2 linked regions of the Caenorhabditis elegans genome follow. The protein of the gene in region 1 interacts with the protein of each later gene in a pairwise test. Each region holds a gene or a part of one and is shown on either strand. Other genes may lie near its edges.

The links. The genes of interacting proteins can lie anywhere in the genome.
Region 2: the proteins of prp-21 (region 1) and prp-9 interact in a two-hybrid assay, tested with the Caenorhabditis elegans proteins (2 studies listed by BioGRID).

The regions. Positions count from the first base shown.
Region 1 is NC_003280.10:482,978-491,852, reverse strand, and holds prp-21 (uncharacterized protein), read right to left. Parts: upstream 6,988-8,875; 5' UTR 6,985-6,987; coding exon 6,879-6,984; intron 6,749-6,878; coding exon 6,460-6,748; intron 6,374-6,459; coding exon 6,214-6,373; intron 5,992-6,213; coding exon 5,622-5,991; intron 4,841-5,621; coding exon 4,561-4,840; intron 4,086-4,560; coding exon 3,901-4,085; intron 3,436-3,900; coding exon 3,230-3,435; intron 2,972-3,229; exon of another isoform or gene 2,889-2,971; intron 2,374-2,888; coding exon 2,176-2,373; intron 1,748-2,175; coding exon 1,574-1,747; 3' UTR 1,450-1,573; downstream 1-1,449. Other genes in the region: gldi-1 (NLE domain-containing protein), read left to right, coding at 7,475-7,611, 7,659-7,752, 7,804-7,879, 7,923-8,199, 8,751-8,875.
Region 2 is NC_003280.10:8,522,271-8,527,536, forward strand, and holds prp-9 (Matrin-type domain-containing protein), read right to left. Parts: upstream 3,127-5,266; 5' UTR 3,125-3,126; coding exon 2,981-3,124; intron 2,932-2,980; coding exon 2,773-2,931; intron 2,706-2,772; coding exon 2,179-2,705; intron 2,128-2,178; coding exon 1,866-2,127; intron 1,807-1,865; coding exon 1,621-1,806; intron 1,576-1,620; coding exon 1,351-1,575; 3' UTR 1,224-1,350; downstream 1-1,223. Other genes in the region: cht-2 (GH18 domain-containing protein), read left to right, coding at 1-549, 591-951, 998-1,167; mrps-18B (28S ribosomal protein S18-2, mitochondrial), read left to right, coding at 3,419-3,517, 3,598-3,691, 3,791-3,849, 3,893-3,973, 4,035-4,418; gldi-7 (Sodium/potassium-transporting ATPase subunit beta-1-interacting protein), read right to left, coding at 4,640-5,122, 5,202-5,266.

The DNA.
Region 1 (8,875 bases):
TCAAATTTTTTAAAATTTTCCAATAAAAAATTTTAATTTCCAAAATTTCCAAAACCCCTAACAAAAGATTGAAAGCAACAAAAATCAGTCATACGCTCAATAGATTTCGTACTGGGGAGCTCACGTGAAAGGAAAAATTGGATGAAATAATTTTTTTGAAAACTTTGGGAAAAAAATTTTATCGAATTTTTTAAGTGAAATTTTAATGGAGGTTACCGGGGATTTGAAAATTTTTTTAAACTTTTTAAAAAATGATAATCGTGTTTCAAAGTGACCAAATAAATTACCAACTAGGTTTGTGAAAACTAGAAAAATTTTGAGAAAAAAATATTTTGGCGAAAAAAAAAATTGAATCCAAAAAATTTTCCAAAAAAAACATTTTTCCGCGAAATTTTCAAAAAATTTGAAGAATCAGCTAAACACTGCAGCATCAGTCATATGAGGCTCTTGAAATCGGAAAAATGAGGAAAAAGTGTGCTCATTTGTGCCAAAGTGCTCCACCCCCTGAGCTCCCCTCTCCCAGTGGCAATTTTTTTCGTTTGTGTGCTCCGCGGAGCACACATACAGTTTATTTGAACAATGGGAGCAAACTTCTTATTCCGAAATGTCAAATAGAACATTACTTTGTGGTAAGAAGGGGAGTTTTGATACCAGTTTTGACGCTGAACTTACTTGTTGGGAACTATTTTTAGGTGGCGGGAACTGCTGATTTTGGTGGACAAACAGATGCACAGACAGACTGACTACAAGTACTACTGTAATGAAATATGGGGTACAAGATGTTTCTGGGAAAAAAAAGAAATTCGGAAAAAAAAAGTGAAAAAAAATTTTTTGTTAAATTTTTTTTCGAAAATTTTTTCAAAAACTCTTAAAATGTTATGTTAGGTGGGGGAAAAAACAAAAACACATGTAAGAAATTTGGAAAACATAGTGCAATTTTTAGGGTGCAATCGAACAATTTTCAGATTGTGCAAAAAATGTTTTGTTTTTACTGAAAACGCAATTTTTTTCTGTTTTTCTAGTATTTTTTGTTCTGAAAATGTCCTGTAACAAGTAAAATTTAAAAAATCTGGATATCTGAACAAAATAAACAAAAAAATTCGAATTTATTATTTGAACCAAGAAAAATCAAGAATTTGTCTGAAAATGCCGGACTTTAAGATTTTCATATCGATTTTTTAGAATTTTCATATTAATTTTTGATTTCAGCACTCCAGTTTACCCCTAAACATCAATTTTCAGCCCAAAACTCTTCAGTGTAGTAAGATTTGGTGTTTTGGGGTACTGTAGTCGATGTTTGCGTATTTTTGGTGCTACAGTAACCCAATTTTCTGAAATTTAAGGCTAAAAGCCGGAGAAAAAGTGTCCCGGGGTAATTTGACATGCTGAATCTGAATTTTGTATAGCCATGTCTGAACTTTTAGATTTTCCACTCCAAATTTACAGAACGGTTTTTTTACAAATTTATTGGAAGAAAAGTTGAGATTTGAAGAATTAAAATTGGCGTCCAATTTTAGAATAAAGTTTGAAAGAAAATAAATATTAATAAGAGTAATAAATAATCGATAGCTCATCACTTCTTTTTTCCTCCACGCTCCTTCACTTGCAGATAAATCGCCGTCCGATCTGCCAAATTGTAGAAGGCCGAGCTCATATTATCCTTCACGAAAAGGCCATCAGACATCAGCTTCTGCTTTCCAACAGGCATTCCGTAACGATCCTGGATTTGTTGTTTGAGTTCGGACATCTGCAAAAATTATGAATTAATTGGGCATCAGGTGGTTCCCAATGGGCCATTCAACAAACAAATATTTTTGCATAAATACCTATCTTTTTGGAACTCTCTTGCCAAGTTGTTCAGTAAACCAGTGTCAGCCGAAACGTTTACCAAACGTATTTGTTCCCTGCCCCTTGACACTATGATGTGATCTCACTTATAGTTTTTTTTCCCCCATCAAAGCTTCTGTAAATAAGTCTTTCATACCCCCACCCTCATTTGGCCACGGACCTTTGTCCAATCGGTCATCTTATATTTGTTCGCCTCTTACCTATTCTTTATGTTTATTATCAACTTACTATTCAAATGGTTTAAAAGCGAATAAATAAATAAATAAATAAATAAAGGTGAAAAAATTCGTTCAGGGGAAAAAAACAATTTTCTTATCTAAAACTCACCGGTGCAGTAACTTGAATTGTAAACTGCACAATTGAGCCATCCATTCCGTGTTCGGGAGCCTGTGGAAGATGAACATTAAGCGAAATTGCTCCGTTGACCTTTTTAAGCCAATCAGCTTCTGGTATCAAATCATCTTCGGTACGAGGACGCTTCGCTGGAGGTCCACCGCCAAAGTCCATTTGTCGGATTGGAGGAAGCTGGAATTATAGAGCTTTATGCATTTTATTGGAGCTTTTCATGAGAATTTCCAGTGAAAATGGGAATTTCTGTGTCCGTTTGAGATGAAATTTACATTTAAAAAAATTTAATTTTGTGGAAATTTCAGTAATTTTAATCTTAACACAGTTTCCAGTTAATTCCGCCGAAAAATCGTCTAATTACGCGGTTAAAGATAACTTTTGGTGGCGTTTTCACTATTTTTCAACAAAAATATAGTTTCAGCTAACCTGGTGTAGCTTTTTCTTATTTTTTTTTAAACAGAAATACACAAAAAACCACTTCTTTATATTTTTCGAAAGAAATACAATATCTCTCTGAAATCAGCAAAAATTCGCGATTTTTAACCAATTTTAACTAATTTTAAAATGGGTCTGCTTGACTACAAACTACAAACTCGATTTAGCAGACCCAAGGGATTTTGAAGAGATTGGGTCTGCTAGACTACAAACTACAACTTTCGATTTAGCAGACCCAAGGGATTTTGAAGAGATTGGGTCTGCTTGACTACAAACTACAAACTCGATTTAGCAGACCCAAGTTGTTGTGAAGCGAATGGGTCTGCTAGACTACGAACTACAACTTTCGATTTAGCAGACCCAAGTGAATTGGAATAAATTGGGTCTGCTTGGCTACAAACTACAAACTCGATTTAGCAGACCCAAATTGAAAATGTTAGTTTTCATGTTTAATTTGGGATTTTTCGATTCGTTTTTGCAATACAAAGAGAATTGGTCCAAAAATTGACAATTTTTGTCGAAATATCCGATTTTTCCAGGATTTTACATGAAAAAACGAATTTTTTTTTGGAGATTTTTCAACTCAAAAATCCCATACCGCTTGATTCGGCATCCCAGGCATTCCCATTGGTGGAACCGGCGGCCATCCGGATGGCATTTGTCCAGGAATATTCGTTATTCCTTGAGTAATTGTCACATTTCCCTGGGTCGATTGATGACGTGGCACCTGCTGAGCTCCAATCTTTTCCTTTGATGGATCGGCAACGAATCCGTGTTGACGGTGGATTTCGTTGATTTGTTGGTCTGAAAAATGAAAAATGATTAATTTTTTTGCATAAAAAACACTGAAAAGCGAAATTTCGGTGAGTTTTATGACGGGAAAATTGTAAATTTTTAGCTCAATTTTCAGCCAAAAATTGGAAAATTAAACATAGCTTTTGCATCTCCGGTGGCAACTGTGCTTTATTGCACAAATTGTTGGTTGGAATTTTTGGGAAAACTTGGACTACGGTATATATTGCCCGTTTCAGCCGAGATACCAGATTTTTTTCAGATGGAAAATATCATAAATCCAAAACTTGGCACGGTTTTTGTTAGAGGAAATTGCTTTTTTTTTGAATTACTGGTTTTTCATGAAAACTCGAATTTTTGAAACATTTGAGTGTTTTAGAGAAATTTCTACATAGAAAACCACACAAATCGTGTAATTTTCCCAAACAAAATCCCGGAAAACTCAAAATTTTCGCCAAAAAATTAGATTTCCCGTACCCAAAGTGACTTTATTCTGTACAGCTCGGGTAATCATATCCCGAGTCTCTTCAGTTCCATCCCAAATCAGTTTGTTCTGCCCTTGTTGCGAATTGTCCTCTTCGCCGAGCTTCTTTCCGATCATAGTCTGCTCTCCGCCGACACCGAAGATATCCGTACGACGTTCAGCGAAATTGCCAAGATTTCTGAAAGAAAAAACTGGGGTTTAGTGATATTGGCACGTGGAAAAATGAAAATTCGTCTGAAAATCTATAATTTTCAGCTTTGAACATCTTTTGTGGGCATTTGTAATCGGAAATTTGTCTGAAAATCTTTAATTTTCACTTTTTACAATTTTTAAGACATTTTTATTCCAATTTTAGATTTAGCACTCTAATTTACTCCTGAAAATCGATTTTAGCTCAAAATTCACCACTGTCGTGAAATTTGGTGCTTAGGTGTGCTGTAGTCAGTGTTTGAGTACTTCTGGTGCTACGATAACCCAAATTTTCTGAAATTGAGCTAGAATCTTTCCAGGTCTAATTTGAAGCACTGATCTCAAATTTCGAGCGAAAAATGCGGAAATGAACAAAATTTCCACGAAAAATCGATTTTTTGTAGATTATTGTGGCGATTTTTAGACTTTTGTTCGTTTTTCAAAGAAATTTCTGAAATGTTAACCTAGAAATATCAGCTCCAAGAGCCAATACGGGCTCCTCCGTGCTTCTTTCTCCAATATGACGATCTCTGTCCTCTTTATACTGTGAATCGACAGTATTGTATCTGACGTGCTCGGCGAGCTTATCCGATGGAATACGCTCTCCGGTGAGCGGTGAAATGATCCAGTTCTCCACAGCTTTTGGCTTTTGGGTCACATTTCTCTTCGGATCGTAATCTCGAACAATCACGTCTTTCTGTTTTGTAGGTGGCAGCGGAGCAGTGAATGCAGGGGCTTCTGGTGCTGAAAATATATAAATATACTCATTTTTAATTTAAAAATTTGAAAAATTAAAAAAAAATACTTTTCGTATTTCGGGTGACACGTGTGCTCTATTCCAATAATTGTTGGTCAGAATACGGTAGTTTTTGCACTTTCAGCCGAGAATATCGATATTCATACCATCAATTTGGATAGAAACTCACATGTCCCAAAAATTCATTAGTTTTCCGAGTTAAAATTTGCCAAAGCTAATAAAAAAAAATTGATTTTTTTGGGTCTGCTAGACTACGAACTACAACTTTCGATTTAGCAGACCCAAGTGAATTGGAAGAAATTGGGTCTGCTTGACTACAAACTACAAACTCGATTTAGCAGACCCAAGTAGTTTCTACAGAGAATGGGTCTGCTAGACTACAAACTACACATTTCGATTTAGCAGACCCAAGTTGTTTTGAAGAGCTTGGGTCTGCAAGACTACAAACTACACATTTCGATTTAGCAGACCCAAGTGATTTGGAAGAGAATGGGTCTGCTAGACTACAAACTACAAGTTTTGATTTAGCAGACCCAAAAAATCTTACTTTTTAACTCAAAATTGCGATTTTTGTTCGTTTTCTACGAAATAAAATGTGAATTCGCCTAAAAATTTTAAATATTCCAGGTTGGAAGCACTTAAATTTGAATTTCAGCGTTTTCATAGTTTGCCATTGTTTTCCATCTATTTTAAAAGTAAAACTGTTGGAAAAAACCGGAAAAAAGTGAATTTTGTCTATTTTCAACGTAAAATGCTCCAAAAAAGCACCTTGAACGGCATCTTCGTCATCGGAATCACTCTCTTCCATATCCATTTCCTGCATTTCAGCCGCCGCCTTTTGCATTTCATTTCTCGCTTCCAAAAGAATACGGGCTCCAACGTCCTTTGGTGTGCATAGTGGTGGAAGCTGAGAAGTATCTCCTGGCTGGAAATCTACAGTCTGAACAACTACAAAGTCATGCCAATCGATTGATGCATAGGCTTGACGCTCTTTCTCGGCTTCTGCCTCCTCGCGATCTTTTAGACCTTTTTGATGTTTTTCCCAGGATACACGATAATTGATATCTTCTATGAGACGTTTTTTGTTGGTAGCATCGTCTTGGAGTTGGGCAACTACGTTGGTAGAGGGCACCAGAACCTGAAAACTGATATTTTAGCAACTTTTAGCTTAAAAATTTCAAATAAAAGTTATAAAGCTCACTTTTCCGCCATCTTTAAACTGAAAATAGTGAAAAAGTTATCAAAATGTTTTTTTTTTGAGTTTTCTACCGAAAAAGCTGGATTTTTTTTGAGTTTTCAACCGAAAAATCTAGATTTTTTTAAAAATTCTTAGAAATACGCAGATTTTCTTGATTTTTACCTTCTGATATTGATCAACGAGCTTTGTGAAGTATGTAAAGTTGCAATGAGCCGGTTTCAAAAAGTCGAATTGATAATTTCTGGCTTCTCGTGTCATCAATTGAGTCAGAAATTGACGGCCATTTCGTGCAACGAACAGAGCAACGAGTCGGATCAAATCTCTGCAATTTATAAGGTTTTCACTTCATTTTAGGTTAAAAATAGCTTTTTCATCTAATTTTAGTTCTAGAAGTTCTAAAAAACTTACAAATCATAGGCGTTAATCGTGGATGGATCCGCTGAGAACTCGTAGGCCGGCGGTGGAGCTGAAGGCACAAATTCAGCCTTTTTCACGTGCTCTTTCACTGCTTGCGGTACTTTCGGAGCCTCAACTCGGCCTTCTGAGAAATCGTAGACCATCTTTTTGTAGTAGGCATGGTATGGGTCTGTGATGGAGAGAAAGTTGAATTTCGGGTTTTTCGCCTCCTTTTCGCGGATTTTATTCTCAAAGTCCACTCCATTTTTTGCAGCGAAACGGGCGGTTTTGTCGACGATTGCTGAAAATTGAAAATGTATTGCTTATTTTTGGAAAATATCGATTTGCCCTAGTTTTTGCGGAATTCCGCGTGAAATCTTTCCAAAACCATGCAGAACTGTTTTATTTTTGGTTTAAACTATAAAACTTACTGCGAATATCCGGCGGCGGGTAGATTAATCCAATAATCGCACGCCCTGACAACGAGGGCTCGTTGTTCATCGAGTCCTCCTCGCGGTTTGAGACAACTGCAGTCATTTTCTGCAAATTTATAAGATAAATAATTTGAAAATTCGTAAATTTCGCAAAAAATTCAGGAAAATTAATAATTTAATTAAAAATAGAGAAATAAAGCAATAAACTGAAAAATAAACGTTTTCGAATATTAAGTGGAGGTTACTAGGCCACTACAGAACTCGACCATGACCAAATTCAAATTTTCCCGGTAGGTTTTTATCTATTCTTTATTGTTTTCGACATAGTTTTTACTGCTGTTACGTTAAAAATGTTTTATATTGTGTAAAAACATAACAATCTGTAAAAAATTTACAGTTTTCTCTATACAAATGAATGCTAAAAAGTGATGGCCTAACTTTTTCCACTGTATTTCTTTCTTCGCTCCACTGAGAAAAATAATTTATTTAGCGCAATTTCTTAACGAATTTCTTCGATTTCCAGTTCAATTTCAACGATTTCCCTTGTTATAACTTTCAAAATAATTAAAACTCAAACGGTTTCAGGTAACAAAATGACTGAAAGTCCACAAATCTCGGTCAGCTTCGTGTCAGAGGACGAAAACGAGCTCGGAGGATCGGGAATCCTTGTTCCAGTGGACATCTCCACGAATGAGCTGCAAATTTTGTGTAATCAGCTTCTCGGGAGCAGGTTTTGTTTGAATAATGAATTTTCTGTATCTCATCCTGAGTTTTCAGTGACGATCCTGTGCCGATTTCCTTCTTCACCACAGAAGGCGCTGAAATTGTCGATTCCATTCGAAAATCGTTAGAGGAAATTGATTTTGAGACTGTAAGCCCTTGAAAGAAGATAGAAAACTTTTTAAAAAATTTAAAATTTCAGACATTAAAGCTTGTTTATCAGCCACAAGCAGTGTTCCGTGTGAGACCAGTTACCAGATGCTCCGCTAGCATTCCAGGTAATTTTTTGATCGTTTTGACGCATTTAAATATATTTTTCAGGTCACGGAGAGCCAGTAATCTCTGCTCAGTTCAGCCCTGACGGACGTGGTCTAGCGTCGGGCTCCGGCGATCAAACAATGCGAATCTGGGATATTGAGCTCGAGTTGCCTCTCCACACGTGTAAATCCCATAAAAGTTGGGTTCTCTGCATCGCCTGGTCACCGGATGCTACGAAAATCGCTTCGGCTTGCAAAAACGGAGAAATTTGCATTTGGAACGCGAAAACCGGAGAGCAAATCGGAAAAACGCTCAAAAGGCACAAGCAATGGATCACGAGGTGCAGGAAAATCGCATTTATCACTGAAATGTCTTGAAAATTTGGGTTTTCTACAAAAAATCGCCGTAAAATTGTATTTATCACTACAATGTTCTCTTAAAATTTCCATTAAAACCCCACTGAAACGATGTATTTTTACTGAAACCCTTTTGAAAATCACTATTATTTGGGTTTGCTAAATCGAAATTTCTAGTTTGTAGTCTAGCAGACCCAATCACTTCAAAATCACTTGGGTCTGCTAAATCGAAAGTTGTAGTTTGTAGTCTAGCAGACCCAAACTTCTTCAAAACCACTTGGGTCTGCTAAATCGAAATTTGTAATTTGTAGTCTAGCAGACCCATTTCGAATTCCAATAATTTGGGTATTTTAAATCGAATTTTTAATATTTTCTATGAGTTTACTTATCATCCATAGTGGAAAAATGTGATTTTTAACAGAAAGCTTCAGAAAACCCGAGTTTTTCTCTCAAATATTAGCCAAAAATTAATTTTTCAACATAAAAACTAAACATTTCCATTTCAAATCGAATTTTTATAATAAAATTTTTGCAGTTTGGCATGGCAACCGATGCACAAAGACCCGACGTGCAGGCTTCTGGCTTCTTGTGGAAAAGACGGAAATATTTTCATTTGGGATACCGTACAGGGTACTGTAGTTCGCTGTTTGAGTGGACACA
Region 2 (5,266 bases), 8.0 Mb from region 1:
ATAAATATGGGTGTCCCATTCTATGGTCGTTTCTGGAAGAATGTGGGTGATGCTGTTGACTCAACAGATGATATGTGGAGAACTGCTACGGCAACTAATTCAGAAGGCACAAAATTTGAAGGTGGAGATGTTCAATGGAGAGATCTGCACGAGAAATTTGATACTACAAAAACCAAGTTTCATTCTGGATCCAAAACCCCATTCATTTGGCTTTCTGAACAAAAAACCTTTGTTGGATATGAAAATGCTGAAAGTCTCAAACATAAAGTTGATTATATAGTTGAAAATAATATTGGAGGAGTTATGATATGGGCAATTGACTTTGATGATGATCAAGGTACCCTTCTGAACTCTGCTGCAGCTGAATCTATTTGTACCACATCAACAAAGTCATTCAACTACAAGTGTTCTCCAGTAGACGACAAAAGATGGTGGACATATGATGATAATGAGGAATTGGCTGGAATGTGTGGAAAATCGTCTCCATTGATTGATGGATATTATCCCGTTTGTGATCCAGATGATCCAGGTCATGCTTGTTGTGGAAAGGTTAGTACCACCGTGAAAGGCTTCATAATACCGTTTTGCAGTATGGCTATTGCGGTTCCGGTGCAGAATTCTGTTCTTGTCCTGAATGTATTGACTATGGTGCAGATCCAAATTTAATTTTGAAAGAACCAGTGAAACCAAGCCAAAAGATCACATGGTACACATCGGATGCTGGAGAAGGGAAACGTGGACGATGTGGTCGAGATGTTCCACCTTTAGAAGGAGAAGCGCCAACTTGTAATCCAGATGATGCTAATGCTCATTGTTGTAGTAATGGAGGTTACTGTGGAAATTCAAAGGAACATTGTGAATGTAATGGATGTATTGATTTTGCAAAACAGAGAGATTTCAAATATAAACCATTAGAATGGTGGACATTTTCTGAGAATCCAGCCAACGTTGGTGAGGGAACAGGCCCTCAATTCAACTTATAAGAATATATCTTCAGGTCGTTGTGGTTACAATGCTCCACGACTTTCTACTGGAAAAATTCCAAAATGTGATCCGGATTCTGAATCCTACTGTTGCAGTAATAGTGGCTATTGCGGAAAAGGAGAACAATATTGTAGCTGTTTAGGATGTGCTGATTTCAAGGCAAATCCTGCATTTGAGTATTAAACTTTCTCACTACTTATCTGAAACTGTATATACCGATAAATTATTTCAATTGTACTAAAATTACAAAAAAGTTTATCCATTAAATTTGAAAAATGAGACCAATTGGTTAAAAACTTACAGAAATGTAAGATTAAAAAGGAAAAAAAATAACTTAGAAGAACAATGGAATACATAAAATAGCGTCTACAGAAGTCCTTGTCTTTTCAAATCCTCATACATCTTCCTGGTGACCACATTTCCGCTGGAGTCCTCGTACTCCTCATCGATGTCCGGATTCCATTTAGCCATCTCCTTTTCGGTTTTCAATTTATTCCATAAATCCAGTGCATCTTTGATCTTCGTAATGTTGGCGAAATGAGAGGTATTCGGAATTCCAAGACATCTCATTCCATGAGAATGTCGCCACTCCTGCAAATATCAAGTTTTTGAACGAGACCAATATAATGAACTTACGTTGAAATGCTTTTGGAACGCCTTTGGACCTTTGTAAGTTTGATTTCCACAGATTTCACATGAATATGATAGATTGAGGCCGTGAAGTTTGTACAACCAATACGGAATTGGCTTTCCATCCCAACCAAGCGGTAGATTTTTTGGATTATATGGTGCACTCTCATCAATTTCTTCCTCTTCCTCGATCTAAAAAATGAATTTTTAAATGTTTCTAAAAATAACTAGAGAAAATAATTCAAACCTACCACAATTTCCTCCTCCTCCTCTTCTTCGACCTCTCCAGCAGATCTAGCTTGTTTTCTCTCGACATTTTCGCGAGTTCCAGTACGTTCTTCAGCTAGAATATCAGCAAGTGCCATAATATGAGCTTCCGTTTGTGCCAATGTCAAATTTTTAGCGTTCTGCTTTTCGGCATCGGAATTATTTGAAGACATTGCTGCTTTTTCGAGATCTGACAGTTTATGCCCTTTGGTAGCGAAAAGACGATCAGCGCGTTCTTTCAGAGTTCTGAAAAATAACGAGGACTACAATTAAAAAATCCAAATATTTTTAACTCACCCTCCACATTTCAGACCAATTGCCATGAGAGCTCCTTTCAAACGTTCCAATCCCAATCCCTCGAGTTCTTCAGCACTATTGTATGGAGATAAATCCACAGCAGCTGCTTGAGGTCCGTTCTTGTTTTTATCAGCTTCCCAACCAGGAAGATTCCCTGCTTTAAATGCTCTTTCTACAGTTTGATTAACCTCAGAGAAAACTGAATCGAGATCATGGAGTGGGCGAGTTCGTTGCATGAAAGAAACAAGATAGTCTTTTAAGGAATTGATGTATTCTTTATATGCTCCTGTCTTCTTGGTAGTATTTTTCGGTATCTCTGTGAATTTCTCAAAATTCAACAAATACGTCATGTAATCAACCCTTTTGATGTTCTTCAAGTTAATGAATTTGTCGTATTGTGCATGAAGATCTAGAAAACGACCGTAAGCTTCTTCATCACTGAATTCAACCATATCTGGCTCGGCTCTTTCAGGGTTGATGATTTCTTCATTGATTTTTTGGAACTCCACGGTGAGTGGTTCGGCAAGCTGAAAATGTATAGAAATTATATTACAACCAAACTTAATTGTTTCCGGGGAAAATAACAAAACTAACCTCGTCTGGATTTCTTCTGTGCGCATCTTTGATGACCTTCAGTCTTGAATAAAATTCGGCGAACTCATTTGGACCAGAAACTGAATCCATTTCCATGCTCTTCGAACCGTCTTCATCTTTATAAAATTTGGCAAGCTCGGCGGAAACTGAATAGTACCTCTGAAAAATAATAATATTGAATTGAAATAACATAACAGTTATTTCTTACATCGACAAATGTTTTCACTCGCTGTTCGCTATTAACTTTGGCCTTATGCGTTAACTTTTCTGCAATTTTTTCCTTAACAGTTATATCGATTAATCGTTCCCGTTCCTCGTGCAAGTTTCTGATGGTTTCTAGACACGAATCCATTTCTGTAAAGTTTTCTTACAACTAAACATTTAAAAAATATTAAATTAGTGAATAACTATTCATAAAAAAGATTAAACAAGACAGAAGAATAAAAATTTGAGAAAAATAAGATGTTCGAAAATGTGCAACTTGACGTGACGGTGAACACACATTCCTTGCGTACACCGCATTTAACTTGACGCACAAAGTATATTATTTTATTTTTAAGTTTTTAATTGTAATTTAAAGCTATAAGCTTGTACTTTTTAAATATAATTAAATTGTTTAAAAGTTGTCTAAGTCAGTATTTCAGGTATGTTAGCCACTGGGGGATCATTCGCACGAAGGCTGATTCATTCTTCCTGCCGATTGGCTTGCGAAGGAAAAACTAAAGAAGTTCCGACTCCAGAAGAGGTAACTGATAATATATTTGAACTAAACTAATTTCTATGTTAAATTTATAAACAATTTTACTTAAAAATCGATATATTCAGGCCGGATACGCTTACAATCATGTTGAACGAAAGAAGGGAATGTACAAACCACAACACAGTATTGCCGAGCAGATTTCCTATATGAAAAGTCGAGGTAATATTCAATTTAGTTTCAAAAACAAAATAAGAGGAATTCTTTGTGTACAGCTTTCATGAATGCCAATTAAAAATTAAATTATTTAATATATTTCAGGATACGCAGAGGCTTACAAAGGACTTCCGATTTACAGATGGTATAAGAGAAACATCAAGGTAATTTGAATTCGAAAAATAAATAAATTGATTGAAAATTCAGGGTCAATCGAAACTTCAACCACCTCCAAGACTTTTCTGCATTGATAAACACGGCCGATTCAATCTAAATCATGCTTGTCCAGTAAGTTTTTGTAACAGCAACTAACATTTGCAGATATAACAAACAAATTCACGAATTACAGGTGTGCCGTGACGAATATCTATACTTCGACTACCGAAACCCAGGTCTCATTGAACAATTTTTGGCAGATGGCACCGACCAACCAATCGATATCCTGAAGAGTGGACTATGTCGTGAACAGTACACGCTACTTCGTGCACAACTTCTGAAAGCAAAAGAACATGGAACAATCACATTTGGAGTAGAATTCCGAAACTTTGATTATCGTCAATGGTACAAAAGCTGGACAGATGAACCTGGAAAGCCTGTTGAGAGAGCTGGTGTACGTCTGCAAGATATTCATCCAGATCCACTTGTTCACTTCCCAACATTCAAAAATGACAAGAACAACGACTGGGACGAATGGTGGATTCGTCATGATAAATTTGCCAAGAAGGCAAAGTAATTGTTTTAATTTTCCTAGCGTGTTCGGTTTTCAGCAATTTTCTTCGAATTTTAGTAGGTCTCTATCGTAATTTGTTATCACTTGTTGTTGGTTCTAATAAAAATTGAGCTCAATTATTTAAACATTTATTTTAAAAAAAGCAGAAAGAATACAAAAAAGAAAGAATAAACCCGTATATAGTGCCTAGAAAAAGACGGCAAGACATGAGATTTGAGTCAAAATTAAACAAGAAGTCCACCACTAGTCATCACGGGATAGTTAGATTCATTCTCAACAACCGATGGATCACTGGAAAGTGGAATTTCGTTGGGAGCGTGATAGTGACTTATAACACGAGCATTTTCAGTTTTCTGGACCCTGAATGCACTTTTATAAGACTGATTCTTGGCTCCTAGTTGCTCCGATAACCGTATTCCTGGAGAAAGAATCGGGGATGGATCAACAGTTGATAACGAAATTCCACCTTTCCCAACAATGTGAGTTTTGTGTGCCAACGAAGCTCCAGATGTTCTAGAAGAAGATCCAGAAGTTGTAGAAGATGGGGCTGGAGAGTTGAGCATCGGAGCAAACATTGAAGGAACCGAATCTTGAGAAGCATTTCTTGATTTATAGTCAGAACTCAAAGGGATAGTAGAAGCCGGTGCAACTTCAGAGTGTCCAGAAGATCTTGATCGGAGTCGTTCGTACATATCGTAGTCTGGCGTCTGAAAATTATAGATATTATTTCAACTATGAACTCTTGATATAAATATTTTGTATAGAAAATCATTCATGAAAACTCACATCTCTATCAGATGGCTCTGCCTCCAAATGCTGACGTATTCGCAAAAGAGTCGCACTTTTTGGGT